Callithrix jacchus: one gene and its partners. The protein of the gene in region 1 interacts with the protein of each later gene in a biochemical or structural test. Links are inferred from orthologs where the notes say so. Each region holds a gene or a part of one and is shown in the gene's direction. Other genes may lie near its edges.

Evidence for each region.
Region 2: the proteins of KIT (region 1) and PTPN6 form a complex in vitro, tested with the Homo sapiens proteins (2 studies listed by BioGRID). The link is inferred for Callithrix jacchus from reciprocal best matches to the Homo sapiens genes KIT and PTPN6.
Region 3: the proteins of KIT (region 1) and TEC form a complex in vitro, tested with the Homo sapiens proteins (2 studies listed by BioGRID and IntAct, with this or other methods). The link is inferred for Callithrix jacchus from reciprocal best matches to the Homo sapiens genes KIT and TEC.
Region 4: the proteins of KIT (region 1) and SH2B3 form a complex in vitro, tested with the Homo sapiens proteins (2 studies listed by BioGRID and IntAct, with this or other methods). The link is inferred for Callithrix jacchus from reciprocal best matches to the Homo sapiens genes KIT and SH2B3.
Region 5: the proteins of KIT (region 1) and MPDZ form a complex in vitro, tested with the Homo sapiens proteins (2 studies listed by BioGRID and IntAct, with this or other methods). The link is inferred for Callithrix jacchus from reciprocal best matches to the Homo sapiens genes KIT and MPDZ.
Region 6: the proteins of KIT (region 1) and GRB7 form a complex in vitro, tested with the Homo sapiens proteins (3 studies listed by BioGRID and IntAct, with this or other methods). The link is inferred for Callithrix jacchus from reciprocal best matches to the Homo sapiens genes KIT and GRB7.
Region 7: the proteins of KIT (region 1) and MATK form a complex in vitro, tested with the Homo sapiens proteins (2 studies listed by BioGRID). The link is inferred for Callithrix jacchus from reciprocal best matches to the Homo sapiens genes KIT and MATK.

Annotation. Positions count from the first base shown.
Region 1 is NC_133504.1:142,097,158-142,101,103, reverse strand, and holds the start of KIT (mast/stem cell growth factor receptor Kit), read left to right. Parts: upstream 1-1,146; 5' UTR 1,147-1,204; coding exon of another isoform or gene 1,205-1,271; intron 1,272-2,073; exon of another isoform or gene 2,074-2,286; intron 2,287-3,946. UniProt on the Homo sapiens protein: Tyrosine-protein kinase that acts as a cell-surface receptor for the cytokine KITLG/SCF and plays an essential role in the regulation of cell survival and proliferation, hematopoiesis, stem cell maintenance, gametogenesis, mast cell development, migration and function, and in melanogenesis.
Region 2 is NC_133510.1:21,225,675-21,229,174, forward strand, and holds part of PTPN6 (tyrosine-protein phosphatase non-receptor type 6), read left to right. Parts: intron 1-2; coding exon 3-157; intron 158-2,293; coding exon 2,294-2,361; intron 2,362-2,451; coding exon 2,452-2,603; intron 2,604-2,699; coding exon 2,700-2,791; intron 2,792-3,153; coding exon 3,154-3,264; coding exon of another isoform or gene 3,265-3,268; exon of another isoform or gene 3,269-3,285; intron 3,286-3,473; coding exon 3,474-3,500. UniProt on the Homo sapiens protein: Tyrosine phosphatase enzyme that plays important roles in controlling immune signaling pathways and fundamental physiological processes such as hematopoiesis.
Region 3 is NC_133504.1:145,700,415-145,703,914, forward strand, and holds part of TEC (tyrosine-protein kinase Tec), read left to right. Parts: intron 1-1,521; coding exon 1,522-1,596; intron 1,597-2,329; coding exon 2,330-2,501; intron 2,502-2,619; coding exon 2,620-2,836; intron 2,837-3,500.
Region 4 is NC_133510.1:114,273,812-114,278,031, forward strand, and holds the start of SH2B3 (SH2B adapter protein 3), read left to right. Parts: upstream 1-1,420; 5' UTR 1,421-1,789; intron 1,790-4,220. UniProt on the Homo sapiens protein: Links T-cell receptor activation signal to phospholipase C-gamma-1, GRB2 and phosphatidylinositol 3-kinase.
Region 5 is NC_133502.1:119,814,887-119,819,064, reverse strand, and holds the start of MPDZ (multiple PDZ domain protein), read left to right. Parts: upstream 1-1,378; 5' UTR 1,379-1,504; exon of another isoform or gene 1,505-1,670; intron 1,671-2,101; exon of another isoform or gene 2,102-2,471; intron 2,472-4,178. UniProt on the Homo sapiens protein: Member of the NMDAR signaling complex that may play a role in control of AMPAR potentiation and synaptic plasticity in excitatory synapses. Promotes clustering of HT2RC at the cell surface.
Region 6 is NC_133506.1:120,193,756-120,197,780, forward strand, and holds the start of GRB7 (growth factor receptor-bound protein 7), read left to right. Parts: upstream 1-1,225; 5' UTR 1,226-1,314; intron 1,315-4,025. UniProt on the Homo sapiens protein: Adapter protein that interacts with the cytoplasmic domain of numerous receptor kinases and modulates down-stream signaling. Promotes activation of down-stream protein kinases, including STAT3, AKT1, MAPK1 and/or MAPK3. Promotes activation of HRAS.
Region 7 is NC_133523.1:3,553,209-3,556,067, reverse strand, and holds part of MATK (megakaryocyte-associated tyrosine-protein kinase), read left to right. Parts: intron 1-318; coding exon 319-412; intron 413-1,869; coding exon 1,870-1,935; intron 1,936-2,859.

The DNA of each region.
Region 1 (3,946 bases):
TTAAGCTCTCAGGAGGGATGTCTTATTAGTTTATCAAAATGCTTAGGGGAAGCTCATCTTTCTTGGAGTAGGTCTTCAAACAAGGGTTTTTCCTTCGCTACAATAAGAAACATACCTGCTCTATACCCCTCACAAAGCTGTTATCCTGAGCATGAAAGAAGAGTCGGTGTGGAGAAGAACTAGTAACCCCTACACTGTTGCTGCTTTCCGTTCAAGGATCCACCATGAGACCGTGGGTAGAGCACTTTCTGGGCAGTGAAATCTGGCTTAAAAGAATCGTTGTACTTTTATCTTACTCCTGGGACCGGCAAGAGCAGTTAAGAGGAACACAGGGATCCCTAGCCCTGAAACCGTCGTCTGATACAGAGGCAGAGAAATCATTACAGGGGTTGGCAGCATTGGGGTGGGGGGAGAAATGTGTAAGAAAACCTGGGCTCCCAGAGCAAACTTCGCAGCGCGCCCCTCCCCACTCCCTCGCCCCAGTCTCCACAAAAGTCCGGGTACGGGCTTCTTGGGCGTAGGCCAAGCCGACCAATAGGAACTCACTGTGTCCTTACATGTTACAAAGCAGGTGGAGAAACTGAGCAGAAACAATTAGCTAAGCCAGGCTCAGCCTTTACCGCGGTGCCAGGCGCTCCTAACAGGCCTGGAGGGTAATGTCGGGGCTCAATTTCCTACCGCTCCCCTCCCCATCCCCGTACCTCCACCACCAGCGGCGTCCAGCCTACTCTCGCTCGAACGCGCCGGAGGGGCGGGGAGCCGACCTTTATTGTCTGGAGAGCACCTGGCAGGTGGCGGGCCCGTGCCCTAACGTGCGCGTGGTGCCCAGCTTCACAAAGCCAGCGGGCAGCACCTCCCTGGTTCGGGAACGGCCTCGGACGGGCAGACCACATCCCGGGGTTGGAGAGGTGGAGAGAGAAAGGGGCTCCGGGGTCAAGAGCCAGCGGCAAGGGCGGGCACAGCCCCCCCGGCATTAGCACGTCGAAAGAGCAGGGGCCAGACGCCGCCGGGAAGGAGCGAGACCCGGGCGGGCGCGAGGGAGGCGAGGCGAGGAGGGGCGTGGCCGGCGCGCAGTGGGAGGGCGCTGGGAGGAGGGGCTGCGCTCGGCGCTCGCGGCTCTGGGGGCTCGGCTTTGCCGCGCTCGCTGCACTTGGGCTAGAGCTGGAACGTGGACCAGAGCTCGGATCCCAGAGTAGCCACCGCGATGAGAGGCGCTCGTGGCGCCTGGGATTTTCTCTGCGTTCTGCTCCTCCTGCTCCGCGTCCAGACAGGTGGGACACCGCGGCGGGCACCCCGGCCGTGCGACTCCTCGGCGAAACCTGTGCCTGGGAGGGTGGTACACGCCAGGGTGCGTCCGGAGGGGGAGCTGCGGGCCCTCAATACCCTTGCGTTCCAGCCTCCGGGGAGACTCCAGGCGGCCCTCGGACTCTCCAGAGGCCTGCCTTGCTCACCTGTGCGAGGAGACCTCAGCTGCTGGTGGTGGGGGGCGCGAAGCCGGGGTTCTTTCGGGAGTGGGGACAGCAAGGGGGTTAGGCGTGAGCGAGGCTGCAGGCTGCATGTGAGTTTGGGGTAGCTTTTGTGCCGATGGTGCGCTGGGGGCGGAGGCGGGCGGCTCAGGGGTTCGCACCGAGCGCCTTATCTCTCCGTGCGAGGCGCGGCCGCAGATTCCTTTTGTTAAAAGTTGCGTGTGTGTAACCGGTGCCCAGGATGACCTGCCCACAGGTTCTCCGCCACGCGGAGGGCAAAGTTAAAGAGCCCTTTCTCTCCTCTGCGGCTGCTGCCTTCCAACCGCAGGCGCTCTTTGTGCCCAGAGCTGGGGACCGACCCGCTGCTGCCTCTGCTCGCGGCGCCACCCGTGGAGACGAATCGAAGGCTGCAGCGTTTCCCCGCCTCCTGGTTAGGGTTTTGCACGGGAAGCGTGCGGCGTGCGAGTGTGGGGCTGGACCCCCGTGAACCTGGCGGTAGTGGCGACGGGGACAACTTGGGTAGGGCGTGTGGAAAGCAGCCGCTAGGTTGCAGACTTTTTGCTTTCCTACATCGCGTGCTCGCCTCTTTCTGCCGTGGCGCCGTTTCATTCCTGCCAAGCGCCCCGGGGCTGCTGGAGGCTGCGTTTGCCGCCTGCTCCTCTAAGGCAGCGGACAGCGTGCTGATACTCTGCGGTTTCTGACCCTGGCCGCCTAGCCCGCTGGCCCAGTGCCTGGCCTGCCTGGCGGGCTCTGGAAGCCCCTAGTCCGGCTGCCTGCGAACTGTATTCGCAGGTCCTTATTTTCTTAGGACATTTTTGAGGTTCGTAACCGCCCGTCTCTCCACTCCCGGGGCGTCGAGACTTCGGGGCTGCCTGGGGATGGAGAGGGAGATGGAGTGGAACTTTTTGCAAATCTTAGTTCTTAAAGCTGTAACAAAAATCTAGGTATATTCGCGTGGGAACTTGGGTCTTAGGTGTAGGACTTCCAGGCTGCTGGAGCCGCTCGGTCAGATTCCTGCCTCCGGTTCACTTGTTTTCTCGGTGTCGCTGGTGCGCGCGAGTGCAGGTCGCTCACTGAAGCTAACCCCTGAAGCCCTGTTCTCTTCCAGGTCATTTTAAAAAACAAACCTTTAAGGTTACCCTGATGATGTAAGGATAGAAAGTGAGTCTGAGCTGGAATCAAGTGCTTGAAAGGAAGCGGCGCAATGAAGGGTTGTGAGACTGTCGACTATCGGTCAGTTTCTCTAGAAAGCTTCCAGGCGCAGCCTCCCGGGTCCTCGTCTTGTAACCATTGTGAGGGCTTTCCTGTGGGGGTAGAGAGGCCTTGCATCTGGACCCCTGCGCAGCAGGAGGGGTCAGCAGGGGTCACGCGGGAGTCTTCGGATTCCCTGGAGGATTTGATTACCTGTCTTAAAAAGACTCATCTGGTCTTTGTTTTTGTGCCTTGGCCTTTTTAATATCAGTTAAGGTATGTGAACTAGACCCTACTAGGAGACTAGAAAGACAGCCCACATTGAATATCTGCCTTTTAAAAAATTAAATGAATCAATGGTTTCCTTCTTCCCAGTAGATTTTTGGCAAAGGAAATTTGAAGGTCTGCCTCCTGGGGGGCAGTGTGGTATAACGACCAAGCCTTGCTCTCTCCCCGGGATTCTCCTTTTCTCTGCCATTCCTTGGCTGCGTGTCCTTGGGCAGGGTGCTTACATTCCGGGGAATCCAGTGTCCTCCAGAGTACAAGGGGGCATCTGCATCCTGAAGTATCCTTTGCGTCTAGAATTATCCTCCAATGTTCTAAGTGTAGACTCAGCAGTCTTTTCAACTATTTCCCTGGTCTCTGCCTGCCTCTTTGAAATTCCTCTGCCTCTCCTGCTCACAGGGACCTCATAGTGTATGGTTGCATCTGACTGGAGCTGTGGCTTATGCTGCCCGCCCCTCAATTCCCATATATTCCTCTGCATTGCTCTTTGAGGGCTAGGAGGTACCCACTTTGTCCTAACCCTCATTCTTCTCCTCCCCTTCCCCCCTACAACAGTATTACAGCTCCTGTGCCTAACAGGATGAACCTGCAAGGAATAGTGAATCATACCTTCTCGCCTCGTTCCTGCAGGTGTGAGGCTGGAGTCATTCTCAGCAGCTGGACACAAGGCACTCTAAATTATCCTGCTGGAAATAATAAAATGGTCTTATAAAGAGATCCCAGACAATTCATTTATCCCTATTGTTTTTCCCCCCACTCATCCCCCTATTTTCTTCTCGTGACTCTGTAAATCCCGTATGCTGTGCATTTACAACATACTTTCTAACGCATCTTAAATTCCGTATGACATGTGTGATACATAGTTGTTGCTCTTCAGTTGGAAACGATGTACCAGGCCCGGTGCTTGGGGCTTTACCTGCTATTTCTAGTAGTCTCAATGAGCCCAGGAGGTAGTACTATTACTCTAATGTTTTACAGCTGGAGAAACTGGCAAGAATAAGCCC
Region 2 (3,500 bases), on another chromosome or scaffold:
AGGGGGACCTGGTTCGGGAGATCTGGCACTACCAGTACCTGAGCTGGCCTGACCATGGGGTCCCCAGTGAGCCCGGGGGCGTCCTCAGCTTCCTGGACCAGATCAACCAGCGGCAGGAAAGTCTGCCTCGCGCAGGCCCCATCATCGTGCACTGCAGGTGAGAATGAGAGTCCTCATGGTAGCAGTGACTGCTGAGGAGTAAATATTGCTAAGCGCCATGAGCTGTTATAAGCAACATACATGTTAGTGCACACGTCTATTGCCTTCCGCTCACCCCCGGCTTCTTCTGGGTTCCCTCATGGCTCCAGAGCCTGGGGTGGAACATGGCTGGACCTGGTCCCACTTTGGCCCCCTGCCTGTGGGTGTCTTCCTCAGAGCCTTCCCCAGATGTACCATCTCGCCCAACCCAAATACAGAGGAGGAACCCAGGACTCAGCTGCTGGCCAGGCCCCAGCTAGTCAGGGCGAGGCCGGGCTGGCACCCACAGTAGGCCTGAGTCCCGGCTGCCCTGCTGTCTCTCAAGGTCCCACTCTGCTGGTTTCTTCTGGCCTCCCAGGAATATCCATCGTGCCTGTGCTCCCCATTCCTCCTCTTTTTCCATCTGTAGCCCCAGGGTTTAGGCTTCTTCCTGACTCCGCCGTCTCTCCCCCTTTCCCTGGCAGTTCCCCATCCTGGCCCCCAGGGTTGTATGGGGATGGGCGATGCCTTTCTGGGGGGTACACATAGCTCCTCTATCTACCCTCGTGTTTGTGATCAGGAGACCCCTGTAGGGTGCAGAGGTGGGGCTGCGAGGAGCAGGGGTCCCACTGAAGAGCCCACCATGCCGGCCTGGCCTAAATGGAAGAGAGGCAGCGGGTGGAGGGCCCCTCTGCTCACCAGCTGTGTGATCTTGGACAAATTGCTTAACTTTTCTGACCCTCAGCTTCCTCATCTGTAAAACCAGGATCTCAGGGTTGTCGTGAGACCCTATTGCTGTGGCTGGAATTCCATCAGCCCTCAAACACTGGCAGTTACTGGTTTAGTACTCATGCCAGACAGAGAATGGGGGAAACAGGGACCTGCCTTGCCCGGTCCCTTCACACTCCCTCTGTGGACCCCAGGTCTTTGATGGCCTCTGGCCTCCTCCTCTTCCCCCCAGCAGCTGTTTGTCCATGGGACAGGGCCAGTTGGCTGAATCTAGAGGTGCCCCGATGGGCTGTCTTGGGGCCGCAGCTCTGTCCTCTGCTCTCTCAGGGACAGGTCTATCCCTGAGAGCCACCCTCCTGCTCACCCACCGCACGTATAGTCACACACTTCTTGAAAGCCCCATGGCCTTTATTTAGACGTTACAGGAAGGAAGTGGGTGAAGGGGGGTTATTTTTGACAATCTGTGTTTGAAATTAGACAGTGCGACTCAGGGCACCAGCCTGATGGGCCCAGCTGAGGGTGGGCCTGGGGTCTCCCTAGGGTCTGCTTGCCCAGGGGTGGGAAGGAGAGAAACTTCCTATTGCACTGCTCCCCCGAGTCCCTGACCCGGCACCCCTGAACCCTGTTGTCTCTGGGCTGTCCTTTCCCAGCTGTCAGGGTTTGAAGAAAAAGGGAAATAAACCTCTGCAGAGAGAAGCTCCATGAATTTTTTTTTTTTTTGAGACAGTCTCACTCTTGTTGCCCAGGCTGGAGTGCAGTGGCGTGATCTCAGCTCACTGCAACCTCTGCCTCCCAGGTTCAAGTGATTCTCCTGCCTCAGCCTCCTGAGTAGCTGGGATTACAGGTGCACGCCACTACGCCCAGCTAAGTTTTGTATTTTCAGGAGAGACGGGGGTTTCACCATGTTGGTCAGGCTGGTATTTGAACTCCTGACCTCTTGATCTATCTGCCTCAGCCTCCCAAAGTGCTGGGATTACAGGTGTGAGCCACTGCACCCAGCTGGAGCTCCCTAACTCTTGGAGAGGTGGGAAGGGTTCAGGGTGCCTAGGAACCAGCAGGACAGTAGTGGGATTTGGGGGTCCCATGTCTTTCGGGGTGGGGACAGCTGCTCTCCAGGAGTGAGGATTCGGTGCAGGGAGTGGAGTAGGGAAGGATGGTGGCATCTGGGAAGCTGGCATCAGCACCACAGAGCCAGAAGTGGAGTGCTCCCATGCAGAGTCGGGCAAATTGTCATTGTCACTTGCCCAATGATGCTGGGTACATTCCCTTCTATTACTGGAGGCTCAGGCTGCTCCTGCAGTGCCTGGGGGTGGAGCTGAGCACTGGTCAACCCCCCTTCCCAGGAAGGGCTTGACTGGCCTCTGACGGCATCCCCGTCTCTCCTCAGCGCGGGCATTGGCCGCACAGGTACCATCATTGTCATCGACATGCTCATGGAGAACATCTCCACCAAGGGTGAGGGGCACCTGGGGGCTTGGGGGCGGGGTGAGCAACCCCTTGGTGTCTACCTGTGCCTAGGCCTGAGGTTTGACTGCCCCCACCCAGGCCTGGACTGTGACATTGACATCCAGAAGACTATCCAGATGGTGCGGGCGCAGCGCTCGGGCATGGTGCAGACGGAGGCGCAGTACAAGTTCATCTACGTGGCCATTGCCCAGTACATTGAAACCACCAAGAAGAAGCTGGAGGTCCTGCAGGTGCGTGCAGAGCAGGGCCTAGGGGGCTGCAGCGGGGGATGGGTGCCACCTGGCCCTGCTGGGACCACCACCCTCCTGCTATCCCTCTGCCCACAGTCGCAGAAGGGCCAGGAGTCGGAGTATGGGAACATCACCTACCCCCCAGCCATGAAGAACGCCCATGCCAAGGCCTCCCGCACCTCATCCAAGTGAGTGGCCCTGACTGCCACCTCCCGGCATCCACCCCTTTGTCCTGACCAGCCCGATCCTTGATTTCTGGAGAGGACAAGTGTTGCTTCAAGTTCAAGCTTGGTTCTCACGCCTTCTGTTAATAAGCATTTCCAGAGTGCCCCCCCACCGCCGCCACGTGTGGGCCTGTGCTAGGTAGCAGCAGTGCACTTGTGTATGAGATGTTGCCTCTAACCTCAAAGAACTTGGAGTTTAGTGCAGGGACAGTGGCTGGGCCACCTGTGAGATGGGGCAGCCAGAGAGGGTTGCCACTGCTGGGTCCCCCGTGCTGTCTCCTGACCTGTGCCTCCGGCCTGTGTTTGCCCCCTGCACCCTGCTGCAGACACAAGGAGGATGTGTATGAGAACCTGCACAGTAAGAACAAGCGGGAGGAGAAAGTGAAGAAGCAGCGGTCAGCAGACAAGGAGAAGAGCAAGGGTTCCCTCAAGAGGAAGTGAGCGGGCGCTGTGCTCAGGTGGCGGTGCTACAACTCTTCTGCCTGGCTGTCCTCCCTGTCCTGCCCTGTGTCCTTGGCTCCACTGCCTTCCCTGGGTGGATGGGGTGGTTGCAGCCTCACTCTGCCCTTCCCAGCTGCCCCAGACCTCCTTGTTCGCCCTCCAGGTTCCAGCCACCCTCTCACTCCCTAACTCCTTCTCTTGGCAGCCTCAGCCCAGACCCTGCGGAAGCCTC
Region 3 (3,500 bases), about 3.6 Mb from region 1:
ATTCTAGACAATGTAAATCACCATTAATGTTTATTGCTGTGATGGACTTCCTGAACACATTGTTAGAAATTGGTTTGTGGCCAGGTGCTGTGGCTCATGTCTGGAATCCCAGCACTTTGGGAGGCCAAGGCAGTCAGATCAGCTGAGGTCAGGAGTTCGAGACCAGCCTGGCCAACATAGTGAGACTCCGTCTCTACTAAAAATACAAAAATTAGCTGGGTATGGTGGTGTGTGCCTGTAATCCTAGCTACTTGGGAGGCTGAGGCAGAAGAATCTCTTGACCCCAGGAGGCAGAGGTTGCAGTGAGCCAAGATCGTGCCACTGCACTCCAGCCTGGGCAACAGAGTGAGACTCTGTCTCAAAAAAAAAAAAAAAAAAGAGAGAGAGAGAAAGAGGAAATTAGTTTGTACCAGGAGGCAGGAGGTCCAGGAGAAGATGGAATTTCTAAATTCAGGCAGCCTACTGGTAAAAGTATCCATTCCTTTGTATTGACAAATAGTAATTTATTGTATGCATTTTGTTTATTGTTCATCAGTTGATGGACATTTGGATTGTTTCCACATTTGGTCTCTTATGAATAATGCTTCTGTGAACAGTTGTGTACAAGTTTTTGCATGGAAATATGTTTTCATTTCTCTTGGGTATTTACCTAGTTATCAGCACACTGCATCATATGGCAACTCTGTTTAACATTTGAGGAACTAAGTTCATATCAATTTATTCCCAAAGAACCTTTTCATATCTCATTTTGTTGTTTTCTTTTTGGGGGTTTTTGCTCCCTAATTTTTTTTCTGTGTTCTTGTATAAGTTTTATTCTTCACTGTCATCTCAGTTCATTCAACAAACATGTATCAAGTGCCTACTGCATGTCAGAAACAGAGCCAGGTTTTGGGGAGATTGTGGTGGACTAGGGGTAGTCACTGATCCTGACTTTTCCAGACCCTAACACTTGGGGGGAGACAGAGAAGTATGTAACAATTTTAAATTTCTCTGAAATATCCTGTAGTAGAGGTAATACAGAGTGCTATAGGTGTTTATGGAAGAGGCACCTCCTATTTCTTACTTAGTGCTGTAGGCAACTTGGGTTAAAAGGTCCACACTGATTCCCAGTAGTTAGTATTCCCAGTTGTTGGTATCTTAGAGCCCAATCTTTATGCTAAGATCCTGAATACTGAGTCACATCACGTGAATAACTTTCATTTTTAGCAGACTGATATAATTCACTTTCATAGCTCAGCTCTCATATTGGAAAAGAACATGAAATAACTTTTAGAAACCTTTTAACATCCTTTAAAATATTTGAGAAAAGACAAAACTAGCATGGTGCCTGATGAACACTGTAGGATTTAAAAGAAAATGTTTGTTGAATGAATAAAAGCATATAGCATGGTAGTGTATGTACACACAGAGGATGAGCAGAAAATGAGTAAATGATGAATTTTATCAGTGAGTTTCCTTAGCATTTTACCAAGCAGAATGATTATGAGTGAGTTTGACTGCAATGCTCTCTTTGATTACTAGGACTTGCCACCCGGCTTCGGTACCCAGTTAGTGTGAAGGGGAAGAATGCACCCACCACTGCAGGATTCAGCTATGGTAACTCTTATTTTGCAGTTGCATGAACTAATTTTCCTTGAAAAGAATCCATTGTCATGAGATAAATTTGGATGTGCACTATTTCATGTACTAGAACTGTTTTTTTTTATAAGTTTATAGCATGGGTTTTTAGATAATTATATTTAAGACCATAGCAACTTAGGTATTCTATTTTCATCATTATTCATAATTCCGTAGAAAGCTTTCTGTCAGTGAAAAATAAGCATTATCATGTGAGCATCTAAAATAAATCAAAGCCCTTCTTGGTTCTCACCAGCTTTATTGGTTACAAGAACGTGAATAAGAATGGAGGCAAGAGAGAAAGCTTCCAATTTAATTGTCTTAGTTGCTTCTGGCAAAAGCCTTTAAAACAGCAGATTAGATTATTTCCAGCTTGATGGAATTGAAAAAGAAAAAAAAATGAGAAGGAAGAGTGGTAAAGAAGGAAGTGTTTGTTTGACAAAAGTACCTTTAACTTTCAGGCTATATTATTATTAGCCTGGTATGCAGAGTTGTCTTGCCTTCATTTCACGTTGGTTAGAAGGCATACATCCTCTCCACCTTTTGGAGTTCAGATGCAGGTTTTAAGTCTGTTCTGTGTTTTATCAGGAATTATTACAGTGTTATCCTGTAATTTTTAGGTTGATCTTGGTTATAGGTTCTTTTTTCCCCTCTCTGATTCATGCTATGTTTTCCTTTTTAAATATGAACGCTTTCCCCTTCTGTCCTGCAGAGAAATGGGAGATTAACCCTTCAGAACTGACCTTTATGAGAGAATTGGGAAGTGGACTGTTTGGAGTGGTGAGGCTTGGCAAATGGCGAGCCCAGTACAAAGTCGCAATCAAAGCTATTCGGGAAGGTGCAATGTGCGAGGAGGACTTTATAGAAGAAGCTAAAGTGATGATGTAAGTTGCTGTCATCTTTCTGGCTCACCTTTTCATATTAAAAAGTGGCCCCTCACCAAAAACTTGGTAGTTTCTTTTCCTGTAGTAACTTTATATATATGTATGTCTTCCTTCCCAGGAAACTGACACACCCGAAGTTAGTGCAGCTTTATGGTGTATGCACTCAGCAGAAACCAATATACATTGTTACTGAGTTCATGGAAAGGGGCTGCCTTCTGAATTTCCTCCGACAGAGACAAGGTCATTTCAGTAGAGACGTGCTGCTGAGCATGTGTCAGGATGTGTGTGAAGGGATGGAGTATCTGGAGAGAAACAGCTTCATCCACAGAGATCTGGTAACCCCCTAGCCACCCATATTCCCATTCATTGGCTGAATTCCTTTGCAACATGGGGTCAGCAAATGTGCAATGATGTATTAATACCCAAGTTTTGTTCTTAATGTTTCACCATTATTTTTAAAGTTGGTAAATTTAACTTGCCCAGTAATTTTAAAGGAAAGATCTTCATTAAATCTAATGATTTGCCTAGTTAACATCTCCATGCAAGTTTCCAGGTTTTAATTTTTTGATCTCCATAAGAATCCCATGAGACAGCTACTCACAGTGGATTCTCTTACCATCGCTGTTGTATAGATGGGAAAATTAGCTTCAGGGAAGTGAAAAGGCTTGTCTACTGTGATAAATAGGGAAGCTGGGGTTGGCCTTGATTTTCTAACTAGATCCCAAGTTATTTTCCACCTCACGCACTATAAACAGAAACTATAAGAGAAGTCCTTTGGATTTTTAAAAAATCTCTTAAATCACAGAGAAAACATGGAGACTCATTTTAACTTCCCAAAATACCAGAAAAAGAAATTTGTTACTGGTTCTAAATTACTATGTTGGGGACAGTTTTTTCCTTCTCAACTGTTTTCACTCTCTCCTCCATTCTTCTTTTCCTTCTGTTTTTTTTTTTTTTTTTTTTTTAACCTGGTCTTTACAACTGTGTCTGTTTTCAGCA
Region 4 (4,220 bases), on another chromosome or scaffold:
TCAGCTCCACGCAAGCAGAGATATTTGTGTTGTTCACTGCTGTGTTCCCAGAACCTAGAACAGTGCTTGGTGCGTAGTAGTTATTTCATACCTGTGTGCGGAAAGCAGATTTTTGTAGCCCTTGTCTTCAAGATCATTGGACACCAGGAATCCTACAGCAGGCCAGCTCCCTTCCCCCATCTACTTGGAGCCTGGAAATCCCCACCTTCTGGGGAACCCCTTCCTGTAGCTCGAAGGCCAGGACTCCCGGCTTTAACAGAGTGCTTCCTGGAGCCAAGTCTCGAGCTAACTGCTTTAATGCATTAACTCACTTAATTCTCACTGCCAGGAGAGTGGGTACACGTTATTTCCATTTCATAGGCAAGGAAGTGGAAGTACGGAGAAGTCAAGTCATTTGCCCGGGTAGGAAGAGGGGGAGGCAGTGGAATGGAGACACTTGCTGCCCGGGAAGGCTTGAGGTGGCTCCTCCAAGCTGGGGGCGTGGGCGACTAGTTTCCTGTTGGGGGAGGGGGAGAAGGGTAGACATTCCTCCCTCCCGCCCTCCCACATGTTGGGGGAGAGGCTGACTGAGAGCATGCCCCACTCCGGACTAGGGGGAACCCCACTCTCCGTCTCTGTTCCTCATGAGGCCGTGGGGAAAATCAGTAGCCTGGAGGCTGGTAGGGGGGTGGGCGCAGAGGCCACGGGAGCCAGCGGTCGGACAGGGCTTCCTGGAGAAAGATGCACCGCTCCTAGAGTTGGGGGACAGGACGGGTGGCCGGAGGGAGGCTGGTTTATACTAGCACCGGCTGTAGCAAAGGCAAAGCTGAGGGTTGGGGGCAGAACCCAAATTGGGGGCCTGGGGCCGTGGCGGATCGGCTCAGCACGATCGCAGATAGTCAGGGCGGGGCGGGGCAGGGCTGGGTTGTCTCCCTCGGGCGATGATGAAAGCCTGGGTCGCTATTGCACTACCCAGCCCTGCGGGCGCTGATAAGACCCTGCAGGAGGGAGTCAGACGAGCCCCTTGGAGGCCAGACCTCTCGACCCTGCCCTCCCTAGGCCCCGCCTCTTCATCTGGCCCCGCCTCCAGGCGCCGAGGCACCGGGTGGCCGGCTGGCTTTGAGTGGGTGAGGCTAAATTCGTCCCGCCCCTTCGATCCTCCCTTCTTTAGGCTGTGAGACACAAAATCGAGTGGGCACGTGGTGGGCGTGACTTCGCAAGGCCCTGCCTCTTGCCTGGCCCCGGGTGGCAGAGGCCTCAGACCCGGTCCTCAGCAGACTAGCGGGATTGGTTGGCGGGACCAGCCCAGGCTCCGCCCTCATGTCCCGCCCCACCAGCTGAGTCTCCGGCTCTTGGGCTGCCAGGGGCGTGACTTCTGGTGGCCCTGCCCCTTCCCCGCCCCTGTCGCTGCCGCCCTCCTCCGCCAGGCTCAGCTTGCACTGTCGATACCTCTTTACATAACGGCGCAGGGCGGCATGGGTCTGGGCCACCGCCTCCGCCCGGCTGCCCGCCCGGACTGTCGCGGCCCGCGGTGGCGACGGCGGCGGCTGCAAAGTTTCCCAGGCGGCGGCGGCCCGGGGGAGCATCCTCCCGCAACTGTCAAGCGCTGGCGGCGGAAATGATGAGGCGCTGGCCATTTTCCGAGCTCGGGTTTCCTGCCTGAGCCCGGCTCCATCGAGCCGCGAGCGAGAAGCCGGCGCGCGGGAGAGGACGCTCCGGGGGCGGGGGCCCACCCGCCCCCTCGGGATTTCGGGGGCCCGGGGACGCGCGACGCCATGGGCCGGCCGGGCCCGGAGCCCCTGTCTCTCAGGTGAGTCCGCCTTTGCCGGCGCTGTCCTCCTCCAGGGCCGGCAGGGCTTTCGTGGGGGAAGGGAAGGCCCCGTGTCCAGTTCTGCCCGGACTCTGCGCGTCACCCCCTGCCCAAAATACTGCCCTGCGGCTCAGATGGAGGCGTTCGGGGGTGACGGCTCCCAGCACCTGCGACCCCCCCCCAGCTACCACCACCACCACGCACACACGTGTTGGGGAGAGCGTTGGGGTAGCTGAGGCCGTGGGAGCGGGGAGAGGGTATCGCTGACGCCCCCAGCCCACGCCCCTCAACTTGTGCTTGGGGAGGAGCGGTCATTGCTACCTTGAAAGTGAAAGTAGTCAAACTGAGGCTATAAACACAGATGAGCCCTTGGGTGTGGAGGCAGCGGGAGAGGATGCGCCGGCCCCTCCCCACCCCCATTCCGGGCCATGTGGCTAAGAGGGTAGCGCCCTGATTCAGGAAGCCCCTCTCCCCACTCCCTGCACTGCCGAGGTGGGCCGGGCCAGGCCCCCGTATGCTGCTGAATTGGGCGGTTCACCAGGGCTAGGGGTCCCAGAGACAGGTCTCTGGGACTGATCTTCTCACACGTCCCACCTGGGGTTCCCTGGGAATACCCCGACCGAAAAACGTCAGAAGGGGGTGTTGGTCTTCTAGATCCTGACGATTGGAAGGGTATTTCAGAGGCTTCTGATGCCTGGTGCAGAAATCCTCTCCCCTCCCTGCCTCCTTCCCTCCCTCCAGGGAAGCTTTGTTTTGAGGGAGGGGACTGCATTTGAGGAACCGGAGAGGGGGGTCTGCCTGCTTGTCCCGCTTTATTTTCTTTAGTTTCCTCGTTTTCCTGTTTCTCTTCCCCATTCCCAACCACAATTGCTGTAGGTGAGGAGGTCACTCTCTGCAGCTGGGGGCCTCCAGGGAGGAGTACGGCCAGGCTGGGCTGAGTGGGAGGAAATGAAATCCGGTGGGGTATTCGGAGCAGAGTCCTGGGCAAAGCGGTGTGGGCAGGGCCAGCTTTCGTGGCAGGAGGGCTGAGATCTGACCCACAGCCCCTCGCTGGGGAGATGACAGTTCCCTCACGCCAGCCAGCAGCTAGGCATCAGGGCCCCTGCCAGGGCAGTGGGCGTGTGGGTCTCCAGGGATGCAGGCACACGTTGTGTCTGGGTTTCCCATCACTGACCTGGCCACTCTGGAGGCTCCTCTGGACCTGCCTTCGTGGAGGGAAAGCTGACAGAGGCCACCTGGGCAGGCTGGGCTTGGGGGATGAGAGCCTGGGCCCACTGAGGGAAGTTGGAAGGGTTTTTAGGGCACTTTTCCTGAGCTTGTTCCCACAACCCCACTCTGGGAGGGAAAATCCTTCTGAGCCAAAGGGTGAACATTCTTAGAACTTTCGCGAGTCCCTATGGGCCACAGAGCGGACAGCTGGGAAGGGGCTGACCCGAAGCATCAGCAGCTGGGGGGCTCGGCCTTCAGGGGCTCAGCAGGAAGCGGAGTAGGATAGTGACGAGGGTCCTGGAGACTACACTTCGCTGCTCCCACAGCCTCCATTCAGCTGAAGGCGTGGGCAAGTGACTTGTGAACCTCAGTTTCCCCCTGCATAAAACAGGGTAATAACAGGTTTGCAGTGGAGATTTAATGAGCCAGTGTGTAATGAGCACCTGCTGCCTGGCAAAGAGAAGCGATTCAGTTGCAGGTGGTGGTGGTGCTTTTATCATGGCCTTAGTGAGTGTTATTGTTATTGGCTGTGAGCTGTTCCTTCTGCAGTCCCCCTTGAGCATCTGTTGCACACATACCACTGGAGTGTCCAGGGTGTTTGGGAGCAGAATTTTGAAAATCTGGGCACTTTCTTAGCCAGGAGGCCTTGCTGAACTGCCCCACCTCAGTTTCCTCATCTGTGAAGTGGCTGTGCTAATAGCACCTACTTCTTAGGGTCATGGGAACCATGAATGAGTGAATTCAGAGTCTAGAATGGCTTGGTCAGGAGGAAGAGAAGTAGCCTTGGGGCTGGGATGATATTTTTTGTTGTGGATGTTAGCTCTGCTGGCTTTCCTTCCTCCTCCCCCTCACCCCCATGCCTCTCAAACCTGGGCCTGATGCTCCTCCTCTGATAAAGAGAACTTTTGAGTACAAATCAGATCCTGTAGGACAGCTAAGTCGGATTTCTGGCTCCCGCTGTGCCAGCCCCGGCTATTCTCTATATCCTGGGTGGAGCAGAGCTGGAGGCACTTGGAGGGACCTCCTAGCCACCAGTCCCAGTGCCACCTGTTTCAGGTGAGGAGAAACCAGGTGCCCTCCCCAGCCAGGGTGGGGAGAGTCATTGAAGGGGTCTCGGGGACATAGTAGGGAGCTGTCCCTCAGTCTGGGCCAATACAGCTCCTTTCGCTGAAAACACCTTTGGGGCCCAGTTTACATGACCACATACCCTTCTGAGGGATGA
Region 5 (4,178 bases), on another chromosome or scaffold:
CTTGAGCAGAAGTATCATGGTTGCATTTTTTTTGCAATCTAGGTTTGAGACAAGTAAACAGGAAAGTCAAATAAACACTTGAATATATAGATAAATCTGAAGGTATAAATTTAAGATTCCTTAGCTAGTAGATGATAAGCTAGAAGTGAAAATGTATTTAGAAGTAAGAGTTAAAAGGAAAAGAGGGCCCCTAACTGATTCTTAAGGAAGTCCAGCATCTAAAAGTTGGGGGACAGGAGGCAAATAAGAGTGAAGAGTGGTCTGCTGACAGAGGCAGATCTACCTGGAAACTCATGCAACTTAACATTCTGGGTCCTTCTCTTGCCTGGGAGGAACCTTAGCAAAGTGTTTACATGGGCATATATTTTTCGAATATTAAAAAAAATATATATATATATTTGTTGTTGAAGCAGAGCCCCCAGTTGCACAAGCTTCAGAGCCCATGCATGGGCCCTTGACCAAGAGGAAGGAGCAAAACCAAGGTGTGATTGCAGGGAATTACAGGAGGAGTGGGGTGCGGAGGGCTCTAGGAAGAGAGAGGTCAATAGCTGCGAATGTGTTTGAAAGGCCAAGGAATATGAGAAAAGAATATTTTTATACCGAATATTAAAAAAATTCTTTTAAATGTTCTAAATTGGACTTCTGAGTATCCTTTGGTCCTATACTCTAATATTAGAGGGATGTATTAAAAAAGGGTTTCTTATGCAGAAAAAGATTCCTGGGACTTCCAAATTGAGGATAACAGACAATCTTAAGTGGCACAAATAGAAATGAATATCTGTTCTTCCCAGCACCATGCAACTCCAATCACCTTTCCATGTTTACTGTTTTTGCTTTTTAATTGGATCATCAGACTAAGAATGCACCCTGATGTGTGAAAAGTCACTTACAAAGTGAGAAGACAGCCCCCTCCTTTCTGATTAAAGCGCTTCTCACCAGCATCCTATGCCACTTGGTAAGCTACCCATGCAGAAGGCATCCACAGGGGAGTGTACATAAAGAAAATTTGAGGAACTAGAAACAGGGTATCAGCTTCCGCAGGTAGACAAAATCGGCACACAAAAATATTAGTGTCATTACATTTGAATTTCCGATAAACAACGAAGAACTTTTTGGTGTAAGTATGTCCCAAATATTGCATGGGATATACTTGTACTAAAATGCTTCTTTTTTTATTTGAAATTCCCATTCAACAGGGCAGCCTGTATTTTATCTGACCACCTCACAAGTCCACTACCCATACCCCAGAGGCTGAGAGGCCCAGTGGCGAATTTAAAACCCAGCACCGGCCCGCTCGGCCGCGCCCCCTGATTGGCCGAGGCGCGCCCGCCGCCCCGCCGGTCGCAGGCGTCACCGCAGACCCGGCAGCCTGGGCCCCGCCACTGCCTCCGCGGCAGCCCCGGTCGGCGCAAGTGCGGCGCGCGCTGGGGGAGGGGGCGCGGCGGAGCGCGAGGCTGGCGTCGGGCCGCGGGCGGCCAGACGGGATTAAGTTTCTCAGTCACGCGTGAGTGTCTGTGCGCGTTGATTCCGAAGCTCCTCGCCGGCCCGTTACTTCAGAAGAGAAGAGAGCAAGCGTGGGCGAGGCGGGGCATCCCGAGGCCCCGGCGACCCCAGCTCTCCAGTCCTTCGACCCTTTCGTGTCCCTGCCCGGGGCGGCCGCCGCAAGCTGGGTAAGCGGCGCGTGAGCCCCGGCCCGGAGGCCCAAGCGCGCCCCCGCGCCGTGCGCGCGCGCCGGCGGGGAAGGTGCGCGGGCGCCCGGGGCTCGGCGCGAGGGGGTGGGGGTGGGGGCGGCCGGCGGGGGCGGGTGCGCTCGCCCCACCCCGCGCGGCCCAGCGCTTAGCGGAAGCCGCTGCGCCGGCTTTTTAAAAGGATGGGGTCTAGAAGTTTCCTTTGCTACTCTCAAGTCTCCACCCCCCCAAGCCCCGCGATGGATAATCCTAAACCTTTCAGCCACCCTCTTTCCGTCCTTTTGCTTTCGCTGACTCTACGAGCTTTAAAAGTTTTCCTTCTTCCTTGACCCGGAGGGGCACAGTCTTGGTGTCGGGGGCGGGGTAGCTTGTGGACCCGGAGCGCAGACCAGGCTTCCGGGGCGCGGGAGCCTGTTGCTCTCTGCTGCCAAGGCCGCGCCCGGAGGCCCCATCTTTCCTTACGCGGTGCCGGGATGTGCGGGGTGCGGTAGCGAGTGGGCAGCATTGCTCCTGGCCCTGCCTTCTCGCCTTAGAAGTGGGGGACCCGAGGCGAGCCACTAATTGGTACCGATCCCCCGCTCCCCACCCCTGGCGTGCGTGCCTTTTAACCGCCGCTCCCGTGGGTGGGAGCATTTTGGGCTCGTCTCTCCCTTAATAATCCCCTCACCCCCCGCACTGATGGGCGCCTTTGTCGGCGATTTGGCAGTCCCGGGTTGCCGGATGTTCCTAGGGAAGCGATGTTTGGGAGACGCTTTGTGTCTTGTGGAGTTGCGCGTGTGTCAGGTGGGATGGTGGACATTTTTGCCTGCATTTTTTGCAGAGGCACAAAGGCTGGCCTATTCTTCCCTGCAGTCACTTGAAAATTCAAGCAGAGATTGCGGGGGAGGAGAAGTGGCCAGGCAGCGGCGGGAGGTGGAGGCTACTGCTTAGTCACTGGGGGCTAGCAGAGGGCCCCCCGGAGGACTCTCCTCCGCGGTGGAGCTGTTGAGGTTGCTCTGCCTGGGAAGACCTCGGCAGTGGGCACTGATTGCCTTTGTGCAGTGGGGGCTGCGGTTGCAGGCTCGTGTTTAGTAGGTATCATCAGATAGATAAGAGAACCATGACTTCACTGGCCAAGAAGGAAAACTTCTCCATGTTCTTTTGATATCGTGGAGGAGGAATCTGATAAGTGACCAGACTGCCTCTTCCTGCATTGTGGATAGTTTGATGTAAACATCCCCTTCTTGTTTCCCTAGAAGTTACTCGTTTAAATTACTCTTGATAGAATAAATAACACTTTATCCGGAAACTAACAAGGAGGAGGTGATGGTTTCGGACTTGGGAGTTTTACATGTTGAATTTGGGTGTAAGTGATTACAATGAACTCCTTGTAATGTTCGAACTATTTAAATTTGTATAATGTACGCCTTAGCACCTGATAGAATTGTGGCAAACAATAGTGTTAAACCCAGCAAAACTTGGCTGGGCACAGTGTCTCATGTCTGTAATCCCAGCACTTTGGGAGGCAGAGGCGGGTGGATCTCGTGAGGTCAGGAATTCCACACCAGCCTGGCCAACATGGTTAAACCCCGTCTCTACTAAAAACACAAAAATTAGTAGGGTGTGATGGTGGTAGTCCCAGTTACTAGGGAGGCTCAGGCAGGAGAATCGCTTGAAGTCGGGAGGTTGAGGTTTCATTGAGCTGAGAACACGCCACTACACTCCATCCTGGGTGACAGGGCAAAACTCTGATTCGAAAAATAAATAAATAAAAAGTAAAAGTAAAAACCTAGCAAAACTTGAAGTTCTTTGGCTTGATCTTCAAATAAAATACCGTGCTTTGGATAGATGCACTTGTGCCCTTGTGTGCAACGTAGGCAAAACTAGTTTTGGGTGCCCGTTGACTGACTCTCCATTTCGCTATCTCATTTGCTAAAACTGATAAAGATTGTTCTCAACATATTACCAATAGATTATGGTCTACCTTATTTCTTACATATGTTCCTTTTCTTTCCTTTGATCCTTTCTGTATTCTTTCCACTTACCTTCTCTAGTTCTGGTTTTCTGTGTCCCTTTACCACACTCCTTTTTTACTTTCTAGGCCTCATGGTTGTGGCTTGGGAATGGAGGGATGTTTAGTCAGTTTTTAGTGTGCTTCAAAGTCCTATCATCTAGACATTGCCCTCATGGGCCCTTAAAGATGTCTTTTCCTTTCAGGATGTCTTTAAATGCACCTATCTGTGAGGAATAGAGGCTATTCTCAGAGTTTACTGTCTTTCTGCAAGTTGAAGGTATTCAGAGAGGAGATTCTTTGAAATCTTTGAAATGTAACTTTACATGGATTTAGGCCTACTTGGGCACTTTTAGTTGTTAACTGCTAGGGTGGAGAGATCTTGCTTGACAAATGACAAGGAAGTAAATCCATTGTCTAGAATTGAGATTAAGGGATTTAAAATCTGAAGAAGAACAGTGAATTTCCTGGAAGGTCACTATCCTGAGTTAGAGGCAGAT
Region 6 (4,025 bases), on another chromosome or scaffold:
GTGAGCCACTAAGCCTGGCGATGATGGCATTTGAAACCGCCCTGTAGTTATATAAACAAGTGTTTCTGACCCCAATGCTCGAAACTGCTTTTTCCAGTCTCACAACTGCCTCTTCCTGCACTGGAGAACCGTAGATGCTCTTCAAGATCTGTGCCCCCATCAGTTACTGCACATCCCCTTCTCATCCCAGCCTCTCACTTCGGGGCTAGTGTCATTATTCTCATTTTGCAGCTCCGGAAATGGAGGCTACGCAAGTCCTCGCTGCCTTTTCCCTGCCTGCAGTACAGCTATGGTATTCTGGTGTCACACCACCCACTCTAGTGTCCCTTTAGACTACTCGATTTTTTTTTTTTTTTTTGAGACAGAGTCTTGCTCTGTCACCCAGGCTGGAGTGCATGCACGATCTCGGCTCACTGCAACCTCTGCCTCCCGGGTTTAGGCGATTCTCCTGCCTCAGCCTCCTGAGTAGCTGAGATTACAGGCGCCAGCCACCATGCCCAGCTAATTTTTGTGTTTTAATGGAGATGGGGGTTTCATCATATTAGCCAGGTTGGTCTTGAACTCCTGATCTCAGGTGATCCACCCGCCTGGGCCTCCCAAAGTGCTGGGATTACAGTTGTGAGTAATCCCAGCACTTTGGGAGGCTGAGGTTAAATTTAAAAATTTAATTTTAAATTTAAAAAAAATTAAAAAAAATTTTTTTAAACCAGGCCAGGCATGGTGGCTCATGCCTGTAATCCCAGCATTTTGGGAGGACAAGGTGGGAGGATCACTTGAGGTTAGGAGTTCCAGACCAGCCTGGCCAACATAGCAAAACCCTGTCTGTACTAAAAATAGAAAAATTAGTTGGTCATAGTGGCGCATGCCTATAATCCCAGCTATTCGGGAGGCTGAGGCAGGAGAATCACTTGAACCCAGCAGGCAGAGGTTGCAGTGAGCCAGTGCACTCCAGCCTGGGTGACAGAGTGAGACTGTGTCTTAAAAAAAAAAGAAGGAAAGAAAGAAAACTCCGTGATTTAAAAGTCTTAAGGCTGCCTTGGCCTTTTTTCCAGTCCAGGTCTTAAATTTTTCCTCCTCTTCCACAATAATAATGAGTATGAATTCAGTTTGTTCGCAAAGCCTGCCTTGCTCTGAAGCATCCGACTGTGGAGAATCTTCACCCACGCCTGTGATTTGTGAGCCTGAAGAAAATTATCCATCCTTGCAGATGTGTTCTGCTGAGATGCCTCACACAGAGACTGATGGAGTCTTGCTCTGATACCCAGGCTGGAGTGCAGTTGCTGGATCTCTGCTTACAACACCTCTGCCTCCCAGGTTCAAATGATTCTCCTGCCTCAGTCCCCTGAGCAGCTGGGATTACAGGTGCCCATCACCATGCCCAGCTAATTTTTTTTTGTATTTTTAGTAGAGATGGGGGTTTTACATTATTTGCCAAGCTGGTCTCAAACTCCTGACCTCAAGTGATCCACCCGCCTAGACTTCCCAAAGTTATAGGATTACAGATGTGAGCCACCGGTCTGGCTGAGAAAGAAAGAAAGAGAGAAAGAGAGAAAGAGAGAAAGAGAGAGAGAGAGAGAAAGAGAGAGAGAAAGAGAGAGAGGGAGGGAGGGAAGGAGGGAGGGAGGGAGGGAGGGAGGGAGGAAGGAAGGAAGGAAGGAAGGAAGGAATTCAGTGATTTGTACAATTGCCTAACCATGACTACATTCCAATTACAGAACGTTTCTGTCAACCTGATAAGGTTCCTTCTGCCTGTTTCTGGTCGATCTATCTCCCAGTTCCAGTCCTATGCAACCACTGATCTGCTTTCTGTCTCTAACTTTGCTTTTTCTGGATGTTTCATATACACTATAATAATACACTATGTAGTCTTTAGCTTCTGGCTTCTTTCACTCAGTATGATTTTTGAGATGCATTCATGCTGTAGGATCTAGAGTAGTTTGTTCTTTTTTATTGCTGAGTAGTATTCCACTGTGTGGTTACACCACATTTTGTTTCTTAATTCACTAGTTTTTTTTTTTTTTTTTAGACGGAGTTTCACTCTTGTTGCCCAGGCTGGAGTGCAATGGTGCAATCTCGGCTCACCACAACCTCCACCTCCTGGGTTCAGGCAATTCTCCTGCCTCAGCCTCCTGAGTAGCTGGGATTACAGGCACGTGCCACCATGCCCAGCTAATTTTTTGTATTTTTAGTAGAGACGGGGTTTCACCATGTTGACCAGGATGGTCTTGATCTCTTGACCTCGTAATCCACCCTCCTCGGCCTCCCAAAGTGCTGGGATTACAGACGTGAGCCACCGCGCCCAGCTTAATTCACTAGTTGATGGATATTTAGGATTCCAGTTTTTGTCTATTTTGAATAATCTGCTATGAATGTTTATCTAGGTGTCTTTGTATAGATACGTGTTTTCATTTCTCTTGGGTTGATTCCTAAGGGTAGAACTGCTGGATTGTGTGGTAAGTTTATGATTAACTTTTTTTTTTTTTTTTTGAGACAGACTCTCTCTCCGTTGCCCAGGCTAGAATGCAGCAGTGCAAACACAGCTCACTGCAGCCTCGACCTGCTGAACTCAAGCTATCCTCTTGCCTCAGCCTCCTGAATAGCTGAGACTACAGACATGCACCACCATGTCCCCCTAGTTTTTTTGTATTTTTTGTAGAGACAAGGTTTTGCCATTTTCTCAGGCTAATGTTTAGCTTTTTAAGAAATGGCCAGGGTGGGGCACGGTGGGTCATGCCTGTAATCCCAGCACTTTGGGAGGCTGAGGTGGGCAAATCACCTGAGGTCAGGAGTTCGATACCAGCCTGACCAATATGGTGAAATCCCGTCTCCACTAAAAATACAAAAATTAGGGGCCGGGCATGGTGGCTCACCCCATAATCCCAGCACTTTGGAAGGCCAAGATAGGCAGATCACCTGAGGTCGGGAGTTCGAGACCAGCCATGACTAACATGGAGAAACTCTGTTTCTACTAAAAATACAAAATTAGCTGGGTGTGGTGGTACATGCCTGTAATCCTGGCTACTTGGGAAGCGAAGACAGGAGAATCCCTTGAATCCGGGAGGCAGAGGTTGCAGTGAGCTGAGATTTTGCCACCTCACTCCAGAGACAGAGCAAGAATCCATCTCAAAAACAAAAAACAAAAATTAGCCAGGTGTGGTAGTGGGCGCCTGTAGTCCCAGCTACTCAGGAGGCTGAGACAGGAGAATTGCTTGAACCCCAGAGTTGGAGGTTGCAGTGAGCCAAGATCAAGCCACTGCACTCCAGCCTGGGCAACAAAGCAAGACTATCTCAAAAAAACAAAAAACAAAAACCAAAAAGAGAAACAGCCAGACTGTTTTTCAAAGTGGCAGCACCATTTTACATCCCCACCAGCAATATATGAGGATTTGTCTCTCTATATCCTCACCAATACTTGTTTCTTTCTCTTTGGTTATAAGCATCCTAGTGGGCATGTCATGGTATATCATTGTGGTTTTAATTCTCATTTATCTAATGACTATGTTGTGTATCTTTTCATGTAGTTATTAGCCATTCATATACATATTATTTGAAGAAACATCTATTCAAGTATTTTGCCCATTTTTATTAGGATTGTTTGTCTATTATTGATTTGTAGAAGTTCTTTATATATTTTGATTGCCAACCAAAATATATACAACCATATATGGTTCTATATGATTTGCAACTATTTTTTCCCAATCTTTGGCTCGTTTTTTTTTTTTTCTTTCTTTCTTTGAGACAGGGTCTCACAGTGTCACCCAGGCTGGAGTGTAGTGGCACAATCTCGGCTCACTGCAACCTCTGCTTCCCGGGTTCAAGCCTCCCAAGTAGCTGGGATTACAGGCATGTGCCACCATGGCCCAGCTAATTTTTTGTATTTTTAGTAGAGATGGCCAGGCCCTGTGCATTATGTTGGCCAGGTTGGTCTGGAGCTCCTGGGCCTCAAGTGATCTGCCTGCCTCAGCCTCCCAAAGTGCTGGGACCACAGGCATGATCTATTTCACCTGACTTCTTTTCTCCTTTGT
Region 7 (2,859 bases), on another chromosome or scaffold:
CTGACCACCTGGGATCCCCTGAGCTCTGTGCTTCTCCAATATGGAGATGAAGGGGGTATTCCCTGGGCCCCCCAGACCTGAGTCTGCCCCCAGGGACTGGGATGACATCTTTGGGGACCCCCAGGACCCCCCAAATTGACAGCAATCCAGAGGACCTCCGCTCCTTTTGGCCTGCCCCTTCTCCCATTCCAATGGAAACCAGCCTCTCTTCTCCTCCCTGGTCCCGCCCACCCCACCCAGAGCCCAGCAGAGAAAGGGACGAGATGCCGGGGTTCCCTGTCCTGGGGCGGGGCTCACCACCACCCCCGTATCCTGCAGCATTACACCAAGGACAAGGGCGCTATCTGCACCAAGCTGGTGAGGCCAAAGCGGAAGCACGGGACCAAGTCGGCAGAGGAGGAGCTGGCCAGGGGTAGGGGACGCTCGAGAGGGCCCACCTCCTCCCCTGCCCACATTAGCGCAGCCCAGGAGGAAGGACCCTGGGGCCCTGGGCCTCTAAGGCCAGATCACCCAAGCCTGTCCCCATGCACAGCTATGGGATAGAAGACCTGGGCTGCCTTGGGGTCCACAGACGCCGATCAGTCCTTTACTCACTGGGCCCCACCTTCTGCTGCTCATCTCTGTCACCATCATCCGCCATATCATCTGAGCCAGAAACCTGGCCCCGAAGCCCCACCCACCCACCTCCCCGCCCCAGCATTCCCTCTTTGGCCTGGTTCCTAACACCTGGTGCATCTGCTCCCCTCCCCTCCCCACAGCCCAGCCTCAGTCCCTCTCATCACAGGACCTCCTTCCCAGGGGGCAAGTGCCCCTTCCAGGCCAGGCCCTGAGTGCAGCCCCAAGGTTATCTTTCTATCATGAGATCCTGCCTCTGGGGAGAGAGGCCCGCAGCTCTACTACGTTCCAGAACCTGCCCCCATGGCCCGAGCCACCCTTCCAGCCTCATCTGCAAAGCCCTTCCTCCACGCATCCACCCCGCCCAAGTCAACTGTGATCATCGTTTCCTTCATGCCTCTGAGCCATTGTTGATTCCATTCACTTCGCCTGAAGTGCTTTTCCAGCCCCTGAGTAGTGAAATCCTCAATATTTAAGCTCAAAAGCAAATGCCTCTTCCCACCCCATGTCTGTCTCTTTGAAGTACATCTCTCCTGGGGAAGTCTGTACCCATCGGGGATGGCACCCAGGTGGAGACTAGCATCACCCTGACCAATGATCCCTTAGGAGTTCCGCATTTGGAGGGGGCGCTTTCTGGAGGGAGGGGGAAGCCTGCAGAACCAACCAGAGGACAGTGGAGGGGCCAACACAGGAGTGCTTGGGAGAAGGGTCAGGGAGGCCAGACCCCTGGAATATTCTGGAACCTTTATGGGTTTTAATTTTATTTATTCTTTTGCCCTGTGTGTGTTTCGGTGGTCAGAGGTAAAGGACTATGTAGGGAAGAGCCCAGAGGGCATTTGGAGGGACAAGAGGTCTCCAGGTAGCCAAAGAGAAAAGGGCAGCTCTTATCTCTGAGACGTGAAACGTTTCCTGGCACTGCCCCCTGGGCCTGACAGGGAGTTCCTGGAGGGCAAGTGTGGAGTCTGAGGGTCTTCAGCCAGGCCCCCAGCTTTGACCATTCACCCCACTGTCCCTCCTACAAGCTCCTTTTTGCTCAGGTCAGCCTGAGATATCTGTTGCTTCCAACAACAATAATTGGTACCAGGAGTGGGGTGTCTCTGACATGTCCCAGGGGCATTGCCAGGCCCAGCAGCCAGTCACATGTGTCTCCACAGCTGCAGCACTGTGAGACATCACCTAGTCTCACCAAGTAGAACCCCCAGTGGGAGGGTTTGGGGGGCCTAGTACCGCCCTGACTGGGTCTTCACTCCACAGCGGGCTGGTTGCTGAACCTGCAGCATTTGACGTTGGGAGCACAGATCGGAGAGGGAGAGTTTGGAGGTGAGTGGACAGACTGGGCTGGGGGTGCTGAAGAAAGGTGGAGGGTGCATATTGAGGCTTTGGGGTCACAGAGCCGAATTCAGACCATACTTAACCACCTACTAGCTGTGCACCTGAGGACACACAAATCGCCTGAGCCTCAGTTTCCCTCTCTGCAACAGGGGGTCATGGCAGCTGTCATGAGGAGTACAGTAACTCAAGCAGGTGCCCAGTCGACGTTAGCGAGTTCTCCACACTCCCTCTGCTTGGAACACCGTTCCCTGAAATTAATATTCTGGAAGGCTCTGGGGTGTCCGTCAGGGGTCAGCAGACTCTGTCTGTAAAAGCCCAGATTGTAAATACGTTCTCCTCTGTGGGTCAGGTAGTTCGTGTCACAACGGCTCAAGCCTGCCCTTGTCTTGTGGAGTGAAGGCAGCCACAGACAATATGTAAACGTGTGGGCGTGGCCGTGAAAACGATGGCCCAGAAATTTGAATTTCATATAATGCTCACATATCCCAAAACGTATCTTCTGATTTGTTTTTCCAATCCTTTAAAGATGCAAAAACCAGCCAGGTGCGGTGGCTCATGCCTGGAATCCCAGCACTCTGGGAGGTCAGGGAAGGAGGATCCCTTGAGCTCCAGAGTTCAGGTCCAGCCTGGGCAACGTAGCAAGACCCCCATCTCTACAAAAAAAAAAAAAAAAAAATTAGCCAGGCATGGTGGAGCATGCCTGCAGTCCCAGCTACTCAGGAGGTTGGGATGGGAGGATCCCTTGAGCTCAGGAATTTGAAGCTGCAGTGAGCTGTGTTCATGCCACTGCGCGCCACACGGGTGAGAGACTGAGACTCTGTCCTAAGCAATCAATATTTTAAAAATAAAAATGCAAAAAACATTTTGAGCTCCAGAGCCTTGCAAAAAGAGGTGACACAGTAGATCTGGCCC